2 linked regions of the Schizosaccharomyces pombe genome follow. The protein of the gene in region 2 interacts with the protein of the main gene of each other region in a pairwise test. Each region holds a gene or a part of one and is shown on either strand. Other genes may lie near its edges.

Region 1 (17,116 bases), on a different chromosome or scaffold from region 2:
GGACCAGTAGATGTGCTTGCACCAAAGCCATCAGCATCCTGAATGTCAAGAATAGTGGCATTGTGAAATGCAGAAATAGACCCAGGGAGAGCCAACATTGGTTGAGTAGGATCAAGGTTAACACAAATTGGATGTCGAGATTGTTTCAAAGCGTATGATTCTAAAATCTTCAAGACACTTGTTTTACCACAACTTCTTGGGCCAATGAGGCAAACACACGGTCCATATGAAGACTCATCATTTGCAGCGGCATTTTCGGCTTGTAATCTAAGGCCTTCCAAAGCAAAATGCAAATTTAGATATGTACTCATAGGAGTTTCTTCAGCAACATACTCAACGGACGGTTCACCTTCAACTTCTAAAGTACATCCCTGCCATGTATATATCGCTCCTTTAACACGAGTAAAATGATATGGTGGACCTAAAGCCAATTCAGTGCCAAAATATTCTGCATTTCCAGACACGAGCTAAACATGTTAGGAAAATACTTCCAAGAAAGAAAAAAAAAATTTAAAGAAAGAGTTAAATAAATTAAGTAAATATTTGCTAGAATCTGAAGTAGCAAAAGTAAGCTACTTCATGTCGTAAACAACAATATCACCACGAACTTACTCGAATTTGAATTGCCGGTTCGTCGACCTCAAATCTCCATTCACACTCTTTCGGAATGAAAATTTCTTTCATTTCTTAAAAATATAAATGGATCTAAGCAGCAGCTGAGACCGCTGACTGTTCAGGATGAAGACAAGAGAAGCTACGAAAACTATGGTATACTAACTCCATCTGAAGTGCAGATAACGAAGAATATGATACTTCGTAAAATGTTAGCTACTGAAGGGTAGTCAATATAACGATATGTGCCACAGTTGAGTTTTTATTATGATGCTATATTATCTTATACTGGACGACTTATGACAGAAAATAAGTATATTTTTAGGCCCATAAGTTCGTACAATATGTGATTCTGTTAAAGGGAAAGTTGTTTAAAATGCAAGATAGCATGCGTTAAAACTTACTGACCGAACCTGAAAAGGTCCACTTGTAATACTTCCTGTGCAAATAAGTGGATACAATGTGTGTATAATCCACTCTTCAAGCGAAAGAAATAAACATGGAAAAGAGAGTATAATACTAGCGTAACGAATAACTAATACCAAAAGTTCGTGATGAGCTTCCGCGTAGACATTTATAAGTTGTGCAATGCCTCAGTTGTTCTTATGCCTAATTTCTATTCACTATTAATAAACGCTCGATGTTTTATTTTGCTAGAAGCTTCACCACGCGATTAAACATGTAAACAACTATATACTCAATCTATCTGTCAATATAAAATCTACTGATAAAGGAGTACATAAACATAGATAAGATGCATAAATCCAAAAACTTTATGCTTAGAAATAAATGTAAACAAACGAATTTAACCAATGTTTTCAATGTAATTTTAAGTTAAAGTTTGCAGAAACAGAGAATTCTAGAAAGTAGGAAAACTGTAGAACTATCAGTTTCAGCTTTTACTAAACTCGTAAAGACTTACTTTTGCGTATTTTATAACCAATGTTAATAGTGAATTTGACGGACAAAAGTGAATTCTGCCACACCCTCCTCATATATGCCCTCAAGTCTGATATTTATTCAGTTGGAAGGCATAGCTAGTCTGTATGAATTTAGAATCTTGGAGTAAAGCCATTGCGGCACCTACCTTTTGGCGGGAACTATTGTGGCGATACGAACGGAACCCGAGTATCAGATGATGTAAAGTGTTAATATTCCTTAACAGGACCCAGAATCAAAACAACACCAGTACTACGCAGAGATCTACCTTTACCAACTGGATATAATATTGAATATGATACAACTAACCCATTCTTAATATGAGATTGTTTTCTATTATTCATAAATTTATGTTCATTTGCTTTGTAAAGTCCAATCACTTCATTTGTTTGGTTCCATGAAACAACAGCATGATTTGTGTACAAACATCTAAATACGTATATGCATTTGCCTCTCCAAATATCCCTGCAGATCCTATATCGACATGACATGATACTGTCAATCCTTTAGCTTGGAAAATGTATATAAAGGCACCCTACTCTCACCTTTTTTACCACTTTAAGCGTGCTTGAGACAATCGACTTTCAACAACTCATATCACCCTAACAAACTTTCAACGATGGAACACACTACCCAATGTAAGAGCAAACAAGGCAAGCCTTGCGACTGCCAATCCAAGTGCGGTTGCCAAGATTGCAAAGAGTCTTGTGGTTGCAAGAGCAGCGCTGTTGATAACTGCAAGTGCTCTTCTTGCAAATGTGCTTCGAAGTAATCTATATGAGATTTACGGACTGTAGTTCTGGCCTTGACGAAATATTTCATCCATAAAGCAATGTCCGCCTCGTCTTATTGTTTTTCGAAGCATCAGTCGAGAAAACAATACTATTATGGACCAACGAATCGCCCTGATGTCTTGATCCTACTACATTGCTACTTTTTTACAGAGCATTCTTACTTACAACTCAACTCTTAAGATATGATTGTTATGAATAATAATGAAATCATAAATTGATTTATTTTCAACAGCTATTTTTGCTTAGCGTAGAGTAAGGGCATCATCTTCTTGGAAAATCGTCCACTATTGTGGATTCTTTTCCACAATAAATTAGTTTTATGTGCAAAAAAAGATACTCTGTATCAATTCAACCAAAATTATGTCTTAATATTTTAACGGCACTAACGAACGTTTGTTTCTTCCTTCTATACCATTGCTAAGTTAAGCTCTGTAAAGCAAATGTATACATTATATTTGGGTAACTACGGAATCTATTTTTCATAGCGAACGCTAATAGCGCGTAATCCTTTAAACTGTTTAATACTCATTATAATATAATTACGATAGTGAACTACAATGCTACGCGACAAAATTCACTTCCAGAATTAACTGAAAGGTAACTTGAACATAGAAGTTGTAGATCTGTAATTTTATACTTGGTAAGAGGGAAATTAATAAGAGAGTCAGTTGGGAAAAATTTTAATACGTTTCCTTGTTTAAAATTGTTGAGTTTGTATTCTTCTAATATATTACTTTGCTGCTTGGACCAACTCTCATTGTTCTATATTAAGCCTCTTTTCCCGTCCTTTTCTTCCTTCATCTATCTTTCAGGGCTCAGCAGTTCAGTCACTATAATTGAGTGTCTGCTAGCTTCTTCGTTCTTTCTAATTACAACGTGCTAACAAATCGATTTTGTCTGTTTTGTGAGAATATTATATCCTGTATACTCATCTTTCATAAAAACGACAGCGTTTTCAAAGTGTTTGGAAATTAATTATTGATTCATTTACAATATATTGCTTTCTTTAAATCCGTGCCATTCTTTTTGCCTTTTCTTCATACATTCCTTTTGCTATCTCGGATCTTAATTCATATACCCTTACAGTAGGTTATCGCTTTAACAGTTTGTCTGTAATTATAATTTCCACTTGATCGTTTTATGAAAATTAAGTTAAATCTTTTTGTTGCAGGGAATTCTAATAGTTAGAATCTTTCTGAGATTATTGTAATATAATTTCAAATTTTGTTCTACTACCTTCTTTCTTTTTGTTCTAATTCCAGTCTCTATGTTAAAGGTATGCTTCAAAAAAAATTTTTTGTTAATTAATCAATTATTAACCATCTCTAGATTAAAAGGACTTGGAAAACTCATAGTCGAATTCTTGATAAAGATCCTTTTTCAATTGAACCCCCGAGAAAAGTTATTAGGGCCCTTTATGATTACACAGCTCGTAAAGCAACTGAAGTTTCATTTGCCAAGGGTGACTTTTTTCATGTTATAGGTCGTGAAAATGACAAGGCTTGGTACGAAGTTTGTAATCCCGCTGCAGGTACTCGTGGCTTTGTTCCAGTATCTCATTTTGAAGAGATAGGAAAAACGGTCAAATCGGAACGAGACAGTGATGGCAGCGGGCAAATATCATTTACAGACTTAACCACCAATTCTAGTACCACTAGGAGCTCAATCAGTGAACTCCATTCTGGTTCACAGCCGCTATTTGGAATTGTGCAATTCGATTTTGCTGCTGAACGACCAGATGAACTTGAAGCCAAGGCGGGTGAGGCTATTATAATTATTGCTCGGTCAAATCATGAGTGGTTAGTAGCCAAACCTATAGGACGATTAGGGGGTCCAGGTCTCATTCCTCTTTCATTTATACAACTTCGAGATTTAAAAACCGGAGCTGTGATAAAAGACGTTAGTGAGGCTGTTTTACGTATTTCTTGCATACCTCGTGTAGAGGATTGGAAACGTGCGGCTGCTGATTATAAAAAGAGTAGTATTCCTTTAGGGAAATTCAGTGATGGTGAAACTCAAACTATGCCTAGCTTAAGTCCAAGCACTGAAAATTTACAAATTAATAACGATGTTACATATCAAGCTGCTACTGACAATTCAAGCACTTTTCCTGGTTCCGTCGCTAACGAATTAACACCTCTGCAAACATTGGAGTCGCGTACGGCTAGCATCGCTTCTAAGAACAAGAAAGACATGTCTTCTGAACCTACCGTTGTTGCTGCAATGGTGGAAAACTACATGATTCGCGATGACCAATATTGGTATTTGGTCCGTGCCGTTATGAGTGATGGAAAACATCGAAACCTTTGTAGATATTACGAAGACTTTTTTAATTTCCAGACGAAGTTTTTAGAGTTATTTCCTAATGAAGCTGGTCGTGGGGACGAAAGACGAGTTATTCCTTACATGCCCGGTCCAGTTGATGACGTTAATGAATTAATATCTTCACAAAGGGCAATGGATTTAGATGTATATCTGAAGGAAATGTGCAGGCTTCCAGCTCGTTTACTCGAAAATGAACTCGTCAAACTTTTCTTCTTACCGCTTGACGGAGACGTTGAGTCCCCTCATCCAACTAGTACGATGCCTGAAGCCTTACCCAGAGAACCGTTAAGTTTCTCTTTGCCAGAGAAAGCTCCTGAAAAAGCTACTAATATCTCTATTCCCGAATCAGCTCCGACTACTGCAGGTTCGACATGCAAAGTTAAAGTCAGATTAGGAGATGAAACCTTTGCTTTGCGCGTTCCCTCTGATATCTCATTTGAAGATTTTTGTGAACGATTGACTAATAAACTCGGAGAATGTGAACATTTGTCATACAGAGATACGAACGCGAATAAAGTATTACCTCTTAATAATGTTGACGATTTACGGAAGGCATGTTCTCAAGAATCAGGAGTTTTACTTTTTGCAGAAAGACGGAGGTTTTGAGACTATGTATATTTAAAGATTTGGGTTTCTTATTACGTTCTTGCATTTTATTTTTTTTTCGTTTCGTTCTTTCATGGTTTACTTTTATTAATTTAATTTCATCGGTATAATAGCTTTCTTTATCTTTCTAATATATCTGTCTGTTTTTTCGAGAGGTATGCGTTTTTGGATAGTATTTAATCACGACCGAATAAGATGCAAAATGTTTATTCTCCTTATATATTAGCTTTCTTGGAGGTAAAATAAACAAAAAATCTCAACTATGCACTCCCTTTTTGTTCACAATCATTCAATTGAATATTTTCATTAGTTGTTTGATACTGTTCCTCCAAACATATATGTATTTGACGTATTTCAAAAGGGGATAAAGGTAAGCCTAAGTAGTAAAATAAAAACGTTTTTATTGCGAGAAGTTCAACATTTCTTGACAACGTCTTAATCAGCTGAATCAACGCAGATTTGGTAATACAATATCATGTCGCAGTAATAAATTGGTTCATATGAACCAGCTACAATATCGATCACGTATATTATATACAGCCAATTTGGTAAAGGCAATTTTGCAAACTACCTGTTGATTCATTAAACAATTAGATATTGGAAGCCGGAAACGCTTTCTTCTATACATTTACTTCATTTATGTATACATTATTTCTTACATTTAATGTGACCACAAGTAACATGCTGCATACATTTAATCCAATACTAAAGACGCTTTATCTTGTTAGTTTATCTAAAATATTGCTTTACTACATGCATACTTTCCTTAATGCTTATCAAATTTCAAAAATAAAAAATGCTCATATAATTTCCTTTTCCGTATACTTAGAATGGTGGCATCTAAAATAGCGGTAGAAAATAGTACCTGTTGAAGTGACAAGTAGTGAACGCCCAACCTTCGATATAGATCAAAAAACAATAAATTACAGCTGTGCAGTTGCTTTTATTTCAACATTGCAAAAACACATGTTAAATTAAAATTTTTTTTTAAAGATTCCCTCACTTTAATACTTCCTCCTTTTAATTTATACCTGTATGATTAATTCATGAGAACGTATTCTTTACATAGACATGGACGCTGAAGCCTTAAGGAATTTGTATTTGTCATCCATTCTCCCCAATGAATCTAAAACGGGTAATGAATCACCTGAAAAGAAATTTTCTTCTCCTGTGTTGTTGCAAAGGGCCAAAGTGATTCCTTTGAGACTTGAATATGAAGAAAGAAAGCTTCTTCATTTACTTACTGCTGCATTGGATGTGAGTGATTATACCGACAGCGTTGATACCCTAAGCTTTTCGTCGCCAGCGAAAAGACTGGCTCAGCAATTGAAAGGAATTACTGCAGTTTTGTCGGGTATCATGGTTGCTTATGATTATAAAGTTGGACAAGAATTGCTTGAGCATAAAAATTTTGAACAACATGCCGAATTTTTTAAAAAGATTTTTGAAATAGGTCGACGTTATAAAGTGCTAAATCCCAACCGACTGGGGTCTACTTATGGGAAATTGATGTACTTTGTGCAAGATTCTATGCGACCAGAAATTCAAGACGCACTTGGATTTAACCTCTTTAAACCCATTTTGACTGTCTATGAATTTTTGAATGAAAGGGATGCTTTGAACGCATTAGAAGATCCTTATGCCGAAATTGCTACTATGGAAATAGTCGCTGAAAATAGATCACGCTCAGCGATTCAAAAAGATATTAAAGCGAAAGAAAGAGCTGTTGAACATATTGCAAAAAAGTATTACAGCAGCAAAATTACAAAAGAGAAAGTACGATGGTGTCTCTACTCTATTGCTGATAGTAACAGTTACTTGAGATATAATCGTGATCCAATTGCCAAACTCATAGGCTTGGTAGAAGCATATTTTTCTCCAGATACCGTGGACGATGAGTTTACTCTTGCTATTGATGCCATTAATGGCTCAAGACTAAAGCATAGTCATTACAAACAGTACCATTATGTTGTGCAAAGTTTGCATCTTTGGCTTTTAATTATGGGAGAAATATTTTCATTATGGGCTCTTAGTGATCTGGAGTTAACTAACCCAGATATGGAGTATAAGCTAATTGATAACAATCAAGGAATACACAGAATGCAGCCTTGTCCCAACATTAGAATTGCGATGGAAAGGATTTTGCGGACGGCTCAAGAACAGTCTGAAACATGGATAGGAAGTTCAACAATCCATCTCGGAGATACCGCTGTTCCAAATGCCTTATTGTTTATAGACAAGTATATGCAAGTGCCAAGGATTTTAACACCCTTGGTTCTATTGTTCAAGGAGTTAGATTCTTTAAATGACCATTCTCTTCTTAACTACATTGATACAGCTTTTGGAGGCAGAGAATATTTAAAAAAGACTATTTTAACCGATTTTATGAGATTCGGATTTGATGGATCTGGTGCAGACAATTGGTTTGATGTAAGTTAAAATTATCTATCTATATATATATCTGTTTAATTACTAACTAGCTCTAGGCTGGCAGTTGTATTGATGGACGTTTGACTAGTGCCTGGAATTGGGCAAACAACATACACACAAAAGATTACTATCGTGTACTTCTCATGTCCGGATTTCTTAGCTTCAATGGTGAGTAATTATTTAGTAATGGATTAAAATACAATCTTTTAAGCATCAGTTATTTTATTATTGCAAAAATGTATATAAATTCTCGACGTGTAATAGGCTCCCACCAACAACTGCCAACATCAGGAAATCTTATTACGTTTCGCGTAAATTGTTCAAAAGATTGACATAAATACACGTACCAAAAACCTTTATTTACTTTATTTTATTGAAGTTGGTTGTATTTAGAGATACTTTGATCGGTTTATACTTAGAATACTTTGGAGATTAATTTGATAAAGGATTAAACCTAGGATGCGTTTATGTTGAAAACCCTTAGCAAAGTGTCAAAAAACTTGTCAAATACAAGTGCTTTTCTTGTCAAGTCGAAACCCTTATACATTTCTTTTTGCACTTGCAAAGCGTACTTTGAAGACAATACTTCATTAAGCAGACGGTTTTTCTCTGCAAAAAAAAGTTTACAATTCAAATCTTTAATAAGAAAGTATTCTGAAGACTCTACCTTGGCCTGGAGAGATTATGAAAACTATAATGATGATGACCTGCTATATCAACGTGAGTTATCAGAAATATATAACAAATGTCTGAAAGCTCTGCATCCGTTTTACCCAGTTTTTGAGGTTAATAGTAACTTGTATTATCAGTTGCTAATGTTTACGAATTATTCAAATCCGAAAGATAATGGTTTTTCAAAATTGCTTTTCTCACAATATTCTGACGAAAAAAAGGTACTGGTAAATTTCGTATATAATGTGCTTCGTTTAGATCCGGATTTGCAAAGGCAAAAGCGAATTCTGGAGAGCATTATTTCAGCTGCCTTGAATATTTGCGTATCTACTGTAAATTTGAGTAGAACTGACTTAAAATCTTCTTTAAAAATAATTTTGCAAACAATTGATCTGTTTAAATATGACAGTTCATTCTCTTCTATATATTTTCGAAAAGATGGACCGTACCACAAAGTTGAAAAACTGCTGAAAAGCGCTAATATTCGCTCTTCACTTAATTCAAAAACTTTTAATGATTTCCGCACACTTTTCTTGCTTCTCATTAGAGATTACAGTCTTTTCCATGGAAATTCGAGCCATTGCATGTTAGCTAATTCTATGCTACCACCGTCTATTGCTTTTTCGAAGATGGAGAAGGCTGAAATTTTTTTACGTTTACGTGCGTTTTTTCAGCTTATGGAGCATATTGATAATGAAAGGATAACTCCATCTGAACAGTTTCTGGATAAAGTCTTTATATCTCTCCTTTCGGCTAAAAATAGCTGCTCTCTTAAAATGTGGCTCATTCACTCATTTAATAAGGGATGGCCGGTAAAAATTGAGTTTTTTGTTTCTTTTTTCAAAAATTTTTCCAATATAGTAGAAGGCTCTATGGAGGTCTATTCCGCATATTTACATATTATACGAGATCACTACAATTTATCTGATTTGGCTGACGTACAAGCAATTTTTCTTTCTCGTTTTATTTTATTAAGAAAGAAAGAAGATTGCAAAAAACTACTGGAGCATGTTTTACCTATTCGTCAGCTTTTTTTGTTAAATTGCTATAGCCTGCTAAATGTACTCGCTAATTACGTTGTCGTCTTTAAAGATCGTTTAATTTTTCAAGAAATAAATCAAAATTGGGAAGAGCATAAAGGCCAAATTCCGGAAAATTTTATTTTCTCTCTTTTGAAGATGTTTGGTGAAATGCAAGAGAATCAAGGTTTTTTGAATGCCTGTATTTATTATATAAACAAAAAGAAAAATTTAAACGAAGTTAGTCGTTATAAGATTAATTTATTATTACTACAAGGTGTGAATTCCTTCGAAGTAAAAGACTTTTACAGAAAACGAGGAATCGAAATAATGCCAAAAAACCTGCCCAGATTTTTTTGTTATTGTTTAAAAAAAAATAAATTAAGTTATGCTTTAAAGTATATACGGTTATCTGGGCTTCAGTTTGATTACATTGTTGATTGTTTCCGTAATAGCAGCGACTGGACCAGAACTCTGATTTCGATATTGAGCAAAAAAATGGGAACTGAATTCGCAATTCGTTTTTTAAAGATAATTTCTTTTCCTTTGTTATCAAATGACAAAGTTCTCCGAGAGATCGAATTTTTTGCCATTCACGAGGTAAATTTTAGAAGTCTCAAATGGGTTGCAGATCAACAATTGCGAATTCTCCCAGGATGGAGTTCTCGCCCCCAAAAAGCAACATTTCCTTTATGTACAGTTCATTTAAAAAAGTGATAATTCTCGATAGTGCTGCTTCCAATCTACATCGTGCTTGGTGCTTGATACATTTAAACGCATTGTTTGATAATTAATATATTCATTGGTATCAAGTTGTACTTTACGAGGTATGCAGCCAACAATAGATTATTTACATTAACATTGAGAGACTTAATAAAGCAGCACATTTAAAAATGAGATCGACATTAGAATCAAAACCCGTATAATAATAAGCAGTATTTCCAACTATTTTCCTAACAAATCTGATGCCATCTATATTATCACTACGTACTGAACACTTCTATGTCGCAAAGAAAAAGTGCGGTTAAAACTTTTTGTTGTAGATAAAAGACAAAATTTGAAAGAAACAAAAAACTTAAACTGCCCAAATTTTTATAGCAATCCATTTTCTTTCCCACGTTGATTAATAATGCATATATCCACTGGAATGGTTAGGGCTTCTATATCTAATACTTTAGTAACATTAACCATCGAAGGAAACAATGATCGATACCAAGTCATACTTGATAAAAACGTAAATGCAAAACAGTTTGTTAAAACGTGTTGGAGAAACAAAAAACCATTGTAAGATTGTTATTGACGACAAGAAACTAAACTATTAGAATTGTAAAAGAAGGAAAAATATTTGTAGACAAAGGATTCCCTTTTGATCCATGCAGAACATTTTTGGAAGCACTTTACGAAAAATATTCATATTCAAGTCCCCTACCTTCCTCTGTTGAATTTAAAAGTGGAAAACAGGTAGAATTCTGTGGTTTCGAAAAAATCCAAAGCAAGCAAAGAGATTTAAAAAGCTTGCGCGTTATTATTCTAGACAATTATAGGATTGAAGATATTGAAATAGAGTACGAGTATTCTAAAATACTACCTGGTATGTCACTTATTTTCAACTAAATGTTAACGGAATTTGTAGAAGTTATCGACTTAGATTTATCGAGAAATTTGTTTCATGAATTTTTTCCAATCCTTAAATTGTGTTCCCAGCTTCCTTCATTAAGAAATTTAACTCTAGAGCATGTGTTTTTGTTTATCTCTACACGTATATTCTAACTCTTTCAGTTCAAACTTATTTTCAAATTTTATTAGCTCAAATACCGTTCTTTTAATTCCTCATTTAACACAACTTTCAGTGAATGGATGTGGCCTAAACAGTAAAGATGTTCAATGGATTACAGAGACTTTTCCCAGTTTGGAAGTACTTTACCTTGAAGCAAATGAAATAATTTTATCAAAAGCAACATCTTTTAAAAATCTGCAGTTCCTTCAAACGTTAAGTCTTGCAAATAATCTCAATCTTTATAGTGCTGATGGCTATGCAGTTGATGTGTTCCAAGGGTAAGTATATTTGAGAAATACGAATTAGGTTTCTAATCTAAAGAATTAACAATTTGAATTTATCTTCTACCTCCCTCGCTGATGTTGCAGAACTACCTGTACACACTTTACACAAATTGACATTCCTTGACATATCAGAAAACAACATTAGGGATATTCGTTCTCTGGATCATCTTCGTACATTAGAAAACTTAAAGCACCTGCGTATAACACTTTCTTATTTTAATAAACCTACTGATATAGCTAAACTGCTGGTGATTGCGCGAATTCCTTCTCTTGTAAAATTGAATGATGTGAATATATCACCTAATGAGCGTTTGGATGCTGAGTTGTACTACACTTCATGCATCCGGAAGCTTGTGATTGATAATGAAATTAAGGATGTTGAAGAGCTTACGAAAATAGAGCCATTCTGGGAGGAAATATGGAAATCTCACGAGTTGCCAAGCATTCAATTCCATTTGGAAGCTTCAATCAATGACTGGACGTCTGGCATTCTTAAAAATCGCATAACAAAGGGCATCAAAATATCGTCAATTAACTCAGGTGCGACAATGTTATTAAAGCTCCATTATAATTGGAAACTGTTAGATATAAAAGCTTTAATTTCATACCACTTCGCAATTCCAGTACATACGTCTACTTTTGTCTTTGCTTCAAGCGAACGAGATGTAAGCTTCTCTCCAAAGACTGTCAGAGACGACCAAAAGCGTCTCTTTGAACTCCCTTTTACTTGTACTTTTATCGATGTATATGCAAAGGAAAGTGGAAACGTCTAAAGCCAAGTTATTACTTGAAGGACCAAAATCGATGCTCTAGTTTTACGGCTTCTTTTAAAATACAGAAAAATCTTTTTAGCGAACTCTTTTCTAGTATTATAGTTTACGCGATTAGTCATTAGAAGTTTTTTATATTTAATATTCAATAACTCTTTAAATATACTAATTCCATGTATATACCATATATGAAAAGTGCCTCTAAGTTATTTAATCGGTTCGACACAATTATAAAATTATTAAGAAACAAAGAAAACCAAAGCCAAAACCTTGAACCAATAGAAAAAAAAAATACACGTCAAGTGTGACAAACTAATCCACCACGGTCAACTAAGATCAGGGAACTGGTGATAATAGGGAATCCTTGATTACATAGTTGCAACAAAGCAAGTTCAAAGACCAAATGAAAGCAAAGTGATCAACCATGTCATATAGATTTATTCTTCAATACAGGAAAAGACACAAAGTCCAAATATATTAAGGTTGATAAACGAAAAAATAAGAAACCAATATCGTAGTATTGGAAAATAATTCAGCACACCAAATACACTTATAAAATAAATTAGAAAGGAGACAAAAATTTTAATAGCCAGAAGATTCTAAGATTTCAAATAGGGGAGATAATTCTGGGCCTAAGCCCAACCCTACTGTTTCATAATCATTATCAAGGTAAGAGCCATCATTGTGTTCGTCTTCAAGCGCACTTTGAAAATCAGAATGCATCTGACGAAAAGTCATTTTACGTGCTTTCTTTTTGAGAGCACGACGAGCCTTACGTGATTTTGGTCGTAAAGGAACGGAATTTGTGGTAGTCATACCAGTAGCATTAATTTTGTGTCGGCGTTTTTCACGTGTTTTGATAGCTAAGGTAAACCATTCATCTCGAATTAACTCATCGCGACGTGCCATAGATTTTATGTACTGATTTTTTCGAAACGTCCCAATAGGAATTTTTTCCCAGCGACTCAATGAATTATCTTCTTGTGCAAAGGAAACTGAATTTTCTTCTTGAAGATCAGTTTGTGTAGAAGGTTGCAGAAGAGATGTATCAAGAATATCATCTAGGGATGGCTCTTCTGAAGTTTCATTCAGAGTTTGAGGCCCATAACCGTTGTTAGCAGTGTTTTCACCCTTTGTACATGCATCAAACTTATCATGGTGAAGGGAATGAGAGTGTTTACCATCAATAATACCAATCAAATGATTCGGTTCCTTAGCCCAGGTACCCATTACAGGCGGCTTTGGTTGGGTTATATTTAATCTTGGATCTAATTCAAAAGATGCTACAGAGACAACTGTAGAAACTGGTTGAGCTAAGGTAGCTTTAGCTAGTGTTGGGGTCAAACCAGTACTATTATCGGAAATATTTGCACGAGAAGCCAAAGAAGTAAGATCTTCTTTATAGGCGAGTTCAGCTGATAGCTCAAGCGGAGTAGGGACAGCTGAAAGTAGAGTACGTTGTGAGTTAGGTGATTCCGATAATTCTGTTTTGATTCGGGGTGTTTGACCGAAAGATTTTTTAGGAGTAGATAGATTTAATAACTTATTGTTTTGTAATTCTGGTGTTTCTTCATCAGTTGTATCCCCTTCATCATCTGCTTGGTGAGATAAAGTGTTGAGTTCGTCCGAAGAATCATCAAAGAAGCATTCCCATCCAATCAAGTCAACATCATCTTGTTCATTGTCATGATCGTCAACGCTAGAATCTGAACTAATAAGCCCCAGTAAGAAATCATCATCTGATCGCTCATCCATATTTACATGTTCGGTAAGAAAACGTTCACGATGGCTATTAAAAGAAGCCATGTCCATGTCCAAATTATCAACCCAGGAAGCGCTAACTATATCTTCTTCTTCTTCCTCTTCTTCTTCCGTAGATGTCGAAAAGCCATTTTCAGTTTCACCTTCGTACGTTGAGAGGTGCTTGCTTTTCGAAAAACCTTGATTATCCTTTTGTGGAGAAATAAAACATTTATTTTTCCAACTCTCTTTAAACATTGCATCTCTTTTTAAAATTTTCGGTGCCTCTAACGCAAACGATCCTTGATTAGACGAACGTCGTCTAATTCCTGCGTTTTCTCGTTTTACAAACTCTGTAGGGGGAGTAGAAACTTTTAAAAGTCCATTGGATACCTCTTTCGACTTGGGATGTGAGGAAGACTTTTTCCAAGAATTAATTTTCAGAGGCTCCTTATTTGAATAAAATGGTTTTTCATCGACAAATTTCTCTTTCGATCTACCGATTTCAAATCCCAGGGATAATTTTGAATCAGAAAAATCATGAAATTGATTTTCCTCACTGTCAGATAAAGGCAAATCCAATTTCTGTCTTTCTTCTTGAAAGATGAATGTTGGCATTTTGTCAAAATCAACGGGAAAATTCAATTCCGCTGGTAACTTTTTAATTTCTTCAGTATTTTGATACCCATTCTGTATATCATACTCTTCAATTCGCCCATTCGTTAGCGCCATCCTAACATTCGCAAAGACGAATTACTTGGCTGTGGTTAAGTACTCAACTGCTTGAAAGCGGAATTCTTAGCCTCTAGTTCTGATTCCACCAACTACCCTACCCTAAAAGTTGTGCGTGAAATCAGCGTGATGCCGCCCTAATTTTTCACTTCATTACGGCATTCCCAAAGGTAACACAAATTTCATTGCGACACTTAACTTCACGACACCAATGTTCATAATGGTGCTATAAATTACAACAGAATCTGCAACAATTGCTACTTTATATTATTTGCACACGCATTCCATATTTTTTATCGCACTTCCAATTGCATTTTTGCAATTCGTTTACATCTAAGTAAAGGAATATTTTCAATAGAATGAACTTGAATAGCATCTGGTGTAATTGCACTCATAGTTGGGTCATAAATTTGAAATCATTCATTGATTAATCATTTTGAAGTTAATTATGAATTTAGAGCAACCGTTGTTGGCAAAATAGTTGTTAAAGCACTTTGCTAATATAGTTGGTAAATATCTAATATAATGTCTATACGACAGAAGTTTAAATTACAGAACAGATGAATTTTACTAGCGTACCAAGCAGAGTAGTTCAAAACAGCACTAATATACGCCTGGCTAACGGTGCCTAGCTTCTCTAAAGCTTCTCACCGTAAAGCTGACTACTCTCATCAAAGTTAACGGTAAAAGCGGTTACTGAATCGTGTAGAAACCAGTTGGGAATATACATTATAAAACTTTAATAATTTCTGGCATATAATGTTATTGAACTTCTTTACATAATCTTATATTACTGATATTTCTTAATTATTAGATATAATTAATTTTTATTTTCATATCTTGGCGATAACAAAGTTTATTAAATAGTCTAATTCATTTTTATCATCTACCTAATTGAAAATGAAAAATATTTTTAATTCGATACCCATCAATCAAATGAACATTGACTGTAATAGTATACTGGTTTGACGATTCTACTTGCCGTAGAACATCATTTACGACCAAAAATCTTTTTCAGATGCAATATATAACATTTTATAGCATCATGCATTAATCTCATTCATTAAAGATAAATTCCAATCTGTGAAAACAAAATTCAGTGCGACTATAGTGGCAGCGAGTGACAAACTTGAAGGCCACAGATTCTCCTAATGTTTATTGATCTTCCATTTTGGGACGTTGCTTCAAAACCAAGTCAGTGCCAGTCATTCTCTTATAAATATCTCGAACGTCGCAAGTCAAGGTTTCAAAATGGGAAGTGGCATCTACGCTTTTACTGATGTAGCATTGATCTTTGGTGCCATCTGTCACTGGCTCATATATTTCCTGGACTCTAGAAAATGATTCCACTACAGGCCCAAGAAGCTTGAGACCAGGTGCGATTTCCGACAAAGGGTTAGCTGTCTCAACGATTGTGGAAATGATAGCCAAGTAATATCCCTTAGGGCAAACATTGTGAACAGATGAAATTCCTGCAATATAAATGTCGTGCTTACGTTTGACTTGGTTCTGTGGAATAATAATTTGAACGGAATCCAAATTATCTGTGTTAGGAATGGGATGGTTCAAGATACAAATAGCTCGCACAAGGCGTCCAACTGAACGAACTTTTTCACGAAAATAAGATGGGTCCCCAATTATTTGCTTAGCCTTTGCAACTTGATCGCCACTTCGAACACCGATTGCGACACCATCATCCCCATAAACAATTTCATCGACAGGCTGGTTAAGCATGTAAGTACCACCGTAAATTGCACTTAAACGAGCAAATCCTTGAGGAAGTTCGCCCAAGCCGTATAAAGGATATATATAAGGGGATTTGCCAAACTTGGCAATCGAGGACGCATACAGTAAAATGCGCTCACGAGTCTCTCGAGCAGGTTTTTTCAAATAGGCATCATCCAAATAAAGTGCCATAGCATGGCCAATAAAATCTTGAGTACCAGATTGCAACCCAAACTTTTTGAATACAGATTCCATAGAATCCCGATCAATATTTATATCCTTGTATGTACTTGGATCATCTTCACGATAGTTATTAACCCATTCTAAAAACTTCTTGGCCCTTCTTTTTTCAAATAAGCTCATAAGGGGACTCTTCAATGCTTCCATTTCGTTTCCAGGTACTTTCGCAATTCGTCCATCACGATAAACGTAGCTACCGGCAATCTGTTTAAATTCAATGTAACGAGTGACATCGGTATAAATCAAAATGTTGGTTAAATCGCCATTCGCCATTAAAAACTTTGGAACGAGATCTACACACCAGTCCCTATCTCGACCTAAGCTCTCTGGTCGTTGTTCTCCAGGACGAAACAGAGCATATAACTGAGTTAAATTCAAACTAGCAGAATCACTAAGAGGAGTTAGTAACTGACTGAGAATGTCCATATCCAGGTATTAACAACGGTTATGT
Region 2 (4,499 bases):
TAAATTTAGAATCTGGTGTTGCAACATAATTCCAATCACTCTTCTTTATAGTATTCTCCACTAAGCTGGAATTCTCTGAGATTACTGTTCGTGTTCTTTTGTGGATGTTTCCTTGACTACTTAACTAATAAAAGCGTGACATTATACTGCTTCCCTTATAGTTTTGGTTGGTTTTCAAGGATCTTGTTTTTGTTTTGTTCATCTTGTACCTGTGTAAGTTTTATATGACATTGACCTAATGGCCGTGCTCATGACTTCCGATTTCCTAATACGGTGATTTTACTTTGGAAGGCTTTATTACACTTTTTTAAGAAATATGATTCCTATTTTAATATTTCTTTTATGTAACTGTGCCAGTGTTTTGTCTGATTGGGGGTATGGAATGAATAGTTTTTCACTGCTCGTTGTTGGAAATAAATACTTGATCGCAATGATTTGTCAATGTATTAAGAAGTTATGTATTACTTCAACAGATGTGAACGAATTCGTTTACCTTTGCTTTTTGATGATTCGTGTTTGTTGTTTACTTCTATCTTTTTTTGCCTTAGTGTTAATTGTCGCTCTAGCAGACGACGGTAAATTAACTATTAATAATCATTTCTAACGGATTTTCTTTTTATCCAGCTCCCTCTAATGAGGCTTTATTAGTAAAATTATATAATTATATCCATTTATCTTCCATTTTTATTCTCGAATTTTTCTTGCTGTAAGATTGAAGCAGTTTGGAAATATAAAAATTATGTTTTCAAATTGAAATTGAATAGCCAATCTAAATGAAAAAAATTTTAGTGTCATCGTCAACCTTATAATTTCCCCTATATTGTATCAAATCCCAACTCCTATACTGTTTCAAAAAAATGCCAAAATATAACGACCAACATGGACCTTCTTAAAAATTTTTTAAGATTAAAAAATATAATCTTTGTTAAAATGAAAAAGATAGTAGGCAAGAGAAACATAATGAAAACCATACGGCTTTTATCCTTACTTAGTCGCTTCCTCTTCAATTTCCTGGAACTCGCGAACGACTGTGTCAGACCTTTTGAGCTTATCATTAATGAATGTCCATCTTTTCAAGGTATTCTCTACCAATCCGTCAGCACGGGGTAGTAGATTCTTGCCTACGACCTTGGGTGCAAACAAATATGGAATTAACATAGGGTGTGGAAGAGGCGTTAATATCACCAAATAAACAAACATTAAGTTTTTATCATAAGGATAGGGCTGTACGGCGGATAGAAGAATTTGTTGAACATGATCAAAGTCGAAGCTAGTCATCAACTCAATTCTGTTTACCACAGTATCCGTGTCTTCATCTAACATAACACTGTAATTCTTAACATCTAAGGGGATCGCTTTAGCACCTACTGACTCTAACCTTCGGAGCTCCTCTTCAACTTTTTCAGCAATCCAACTTTTTGCTTTCTCGTCAACCTGCAAACTGTCCAAATCCTTATGTGCTGGGTTTTCACTCATTGAAAATCAGGTAATACGTTTTTTTCTCAATTATTTTAAGTTTGACTCGGCCAAATGATTTAATTCGAAAAAAGTTTTACCTTATTAGAATATCAGTAGTGGTAAAGGAATAAATATTAGGAAAAAAAAGTAAAAAATTTATCTCCCTTTAAAATCTGTCGAATTAAACTAGATGATGAAAATTAGTAACAAAATGAATATAACTGGTTTAATAAACGAGAAAAATTAGAAAAACCATCAATTTCAGGATATCAACTTGGCCGACATTCGTTCTTCGAGAAATCTTCTGTAAAGAATAATCGAAGACTGTATAAATTAATTTTATCTTCTATGTATCGATCCACTTAAGTTTTCATAGGCCAACTAGCCTTTGGATTGGAAGTAAGGAGCTTGTTTTCGCACGTAAACCTTTAGCATCATTATCTTCATCGTAATTCCAAGTAGTTTCTTTAAACTTTATACATTATTTGTCAACAATTCAGGTTAAGGTGAAAAGCCATCTTTCTCGTGCTTCGACAATAGAAGAGAAGGAGCCCAAACTCGTACATAAGGATCAGTTCCTGATGTGATTATGAAAGGACCTAAACTGGTTACATTTAAAAGTGATGTTTCTGGATCATCGGAATGCCTAATTGAATCGTCAATAATTATTTTTGTACTCGGATCTGTAATTTGGATTGTTCCATCTTCACTAGGAATTAAAAGATAAGCATCGTGCATGAAAGATTCTGCATCATCAGGGTAGGAAGAGTCATTATTGGGTAAAGCTTCAGTATTTTTAGGAATATTTTTAGAAGAATAGCAATCCCAAGACATAGAATATCTTGTATTCACGTGGCTATCAAATATTCGTACCACACGGTTTCGGCGATAATCCCAAAGACGGATCTGTGAGTTAAGATTACTTACAAGCAGATATTTTCGATTTTCTGTAAACTGGAGATTAGACAAAGGAACATTAATGGGTTCAACTAATGTTTTTAAACACTGGCCACTGAGAACATCCCAAATTCGTGCCATTCCATCATAACTAGCAGTCGCACATAAAGTTCCGTCAGCTGATATAGAAACAGATATAATAGGTTCTGAATGTGCAGGTAGCATCCTAAGGCAAGTTCCATCTTGAAGATTCCATATACGGACAGTCTCATCCCATGATCCTGACACCAAAAGCGTGCCCAATGGATTAAAGTCAATTGATGAAACGTAATTTGTATGACCTTTTAAACATCTCACACTGCACCGTTTTTCAAAATCCCAAATCCTTATGGTCTTATCGTCAGAAGCGCTAGCTAGATACTTACTACCAGTTGCCCATTTTACTTGAGATATTCCTCGGTAGTGGCCGAAAAGTGTACATTCAAGTCGAAACGTAAGTGCGCTCCAAATCTTTATAGTTCCATCGGATGAAGAGGTAGCGATCCATCGTTTGTTAGGGGAAACGCTGACACATGTAACACTTTTCTCATGACCGAAAAGAGTACAATATTCAGAGAATCCTGAATGTGATTCATAATTGCGAATGCGCTTATGTATTTGCTCCTCATCTTCCTCTACAACACCTTTCTGGTCTTTTTGTACTTGCAGGTCGTGGTTCAAAGGAAATTGTTGAGCTGTGGAATCCATCTTCTAATATACGATATGTGAAAAATTATCAGACCGATTGTTTGTACTTCTCGTAAAAATGGACTAAAGACAAAAATCGTATCAGGAAGTATTAAAAGGTTTATTGAATGATCTCAACAATCATAAACAAACGCCTTTGTCTGATAGTAAAATCGATCAATTTATTTCCTCTTTCTAGAGTCTATGTACAAGAAAAAAAGTTCATGGGCTTTTTGCATATGTAGATTATAAAATTACAATGATGCCAGTCAATTTTTTAAGCATCCAGCTTTATTGTATGCACAAGCAGTAACTGGTGTGGACAACGAAGTGTATAACATTCAACTAGCAACATACCACAATAATGACTATTTAAAAAACGCTTTTCTTTGGACTTATATTAAATAACTCAATAATTTGACTCGTCTTCAATAAAGTTTACAGGTTCATTTTCCTCGCAATTCACGTCGAAAACTACTCTGCAAAGGATATTCAGGAATATTGTCATTTTTAAGCCATTTAGTTCAAAGACTTAATAAATGGAAGTTTACTACAAATTGTACAATAATTCACGCATTGAAGTTATGAAAAAGCTTAGGGAATGAAGAAGAACGACTAGGCTCCTTTTACTGAAACGTAAAGTTTACAAGGAATTAATACAAAAACTTTTTTCTGATATTGCTCACTAATTTGACGAGGGTTCAATACTCTTGCGCTAAGGGTACGATCTTCGTACTGAGACATATCCTTTGAAGTTTTGTAATCTTCTAGTCTGTGAGTAGGCTAGTCCAATTTCTCTCCGGCCTTGCATTCATGAAGCTCCTGCTTGTTTGAAAGATACTAAAAAGAGGTTTCCTTATAATGAACCAAAATACGTTCTTTGCATAATGTCCTCATTCAATTAATATTGACTTTGATAGCTCCTTCGATATCAAGTTTTCCATTGCTTAAAGTTCTCAATAAGTAGTGTCTGTGATTCATCTCTCAACTGACTTCGAATGAGTCAACTCATAACTTTCAGAGTGATGCAAATAATTTAAGTTAAAAATGTTTCACTCTCGTTTGTCCCAAAGTTTTTTTATCCAGATAGCTGTTGTTCCACAGAAACATCTAAATCACGTGGATAGTAATTGCAAGAAAGAGGCTAACACTTATGAACAACTAGAATTACTTGTTGAGGTCATGAATTGGTAATCAATTTATTTGATCCAATCTCCCAATTACAAATTGGTAAAACAATATTGTGTTTTCATTTTTTGGTGAAACAGTTGGCATCTTAGATCGGTACACATATTAAGCCTTTCATCATAGCCTTTAGTTCCCTTCTTATTCCATATTAAATTAATGATCTTGATTTATTAGTCAACCTTGTTGCCTGGGTCGTAATGGAAATCGCATCTCCTTTTAATCCCTATGTG

The links.
Region 1: the proteins of SPOM_SPBC354.04 (region 2) and ifh1 interact in a two-hybrid assay, tested with the Schizosaccharomyces pombe proteins (one large-scale study listed by BioGRID).

Annotation. Positions count from the first base shown.
Region 1 is NC_003424.3:2,379,560-2,396,675, forward strand, and holds ifh1 (TOR signaling pathway transcriptional corepressor Ifh1), read right to left. Parts: upstream 14,738-17,116; 5' UTR 14,701-14,737; coding exon 12,811-14,700; 3' UTR 12,387-12,810; downstream 1-12,386. Other genes in the region: SPOM_SPAC22H10.05C (cleavage and polyadenylation specificity factor complex subunit), read right to left, coding at 1-467, 613-684; SPOM_SPAC22H10.06C (uncharacterized protein), read right to left, coding at 1,761-2,042; metallothionein Zym1, read left to right, coding at 2,171-2,323; Cdc42 GTPase complex scaffold subunit Scd2, read left to right, coding at 3,613-3,621, 3,675-5,276; SPOM_SPAC22H10.08 (uncharacterized protein), read left to right, coding at 6,348-7,706, 7,763-7,882; protein Cbp8, read left to right, coding at 8,174-10,114; alp21 (tubulin-specific chaperone cofactor E), read left to right, coding at 10,527-10,681, 10,720-10,988, 11,031-11,130, 11,177-11,452, 11,496-12,231; GDP dissociation inhibitor Gdi1, read right to left, coding at 15,856-17,056.
Region 2 is NC_003423.3:547,273-551,771, reverse strand, and holds SPOM_SPBC354.04 (uncharacterized protein), read right to left. Parts: upstream 1,477-4,499; coding exon 985-1,476; 3' UTR 501-984; downstream 1-500. Other genes in the region: sre2 (membrane-tethered transcription factor), read left to right, coding at 1-29; Set1C complex WD repeat protein Swd3, read right to left, coding at 1,960-3,102.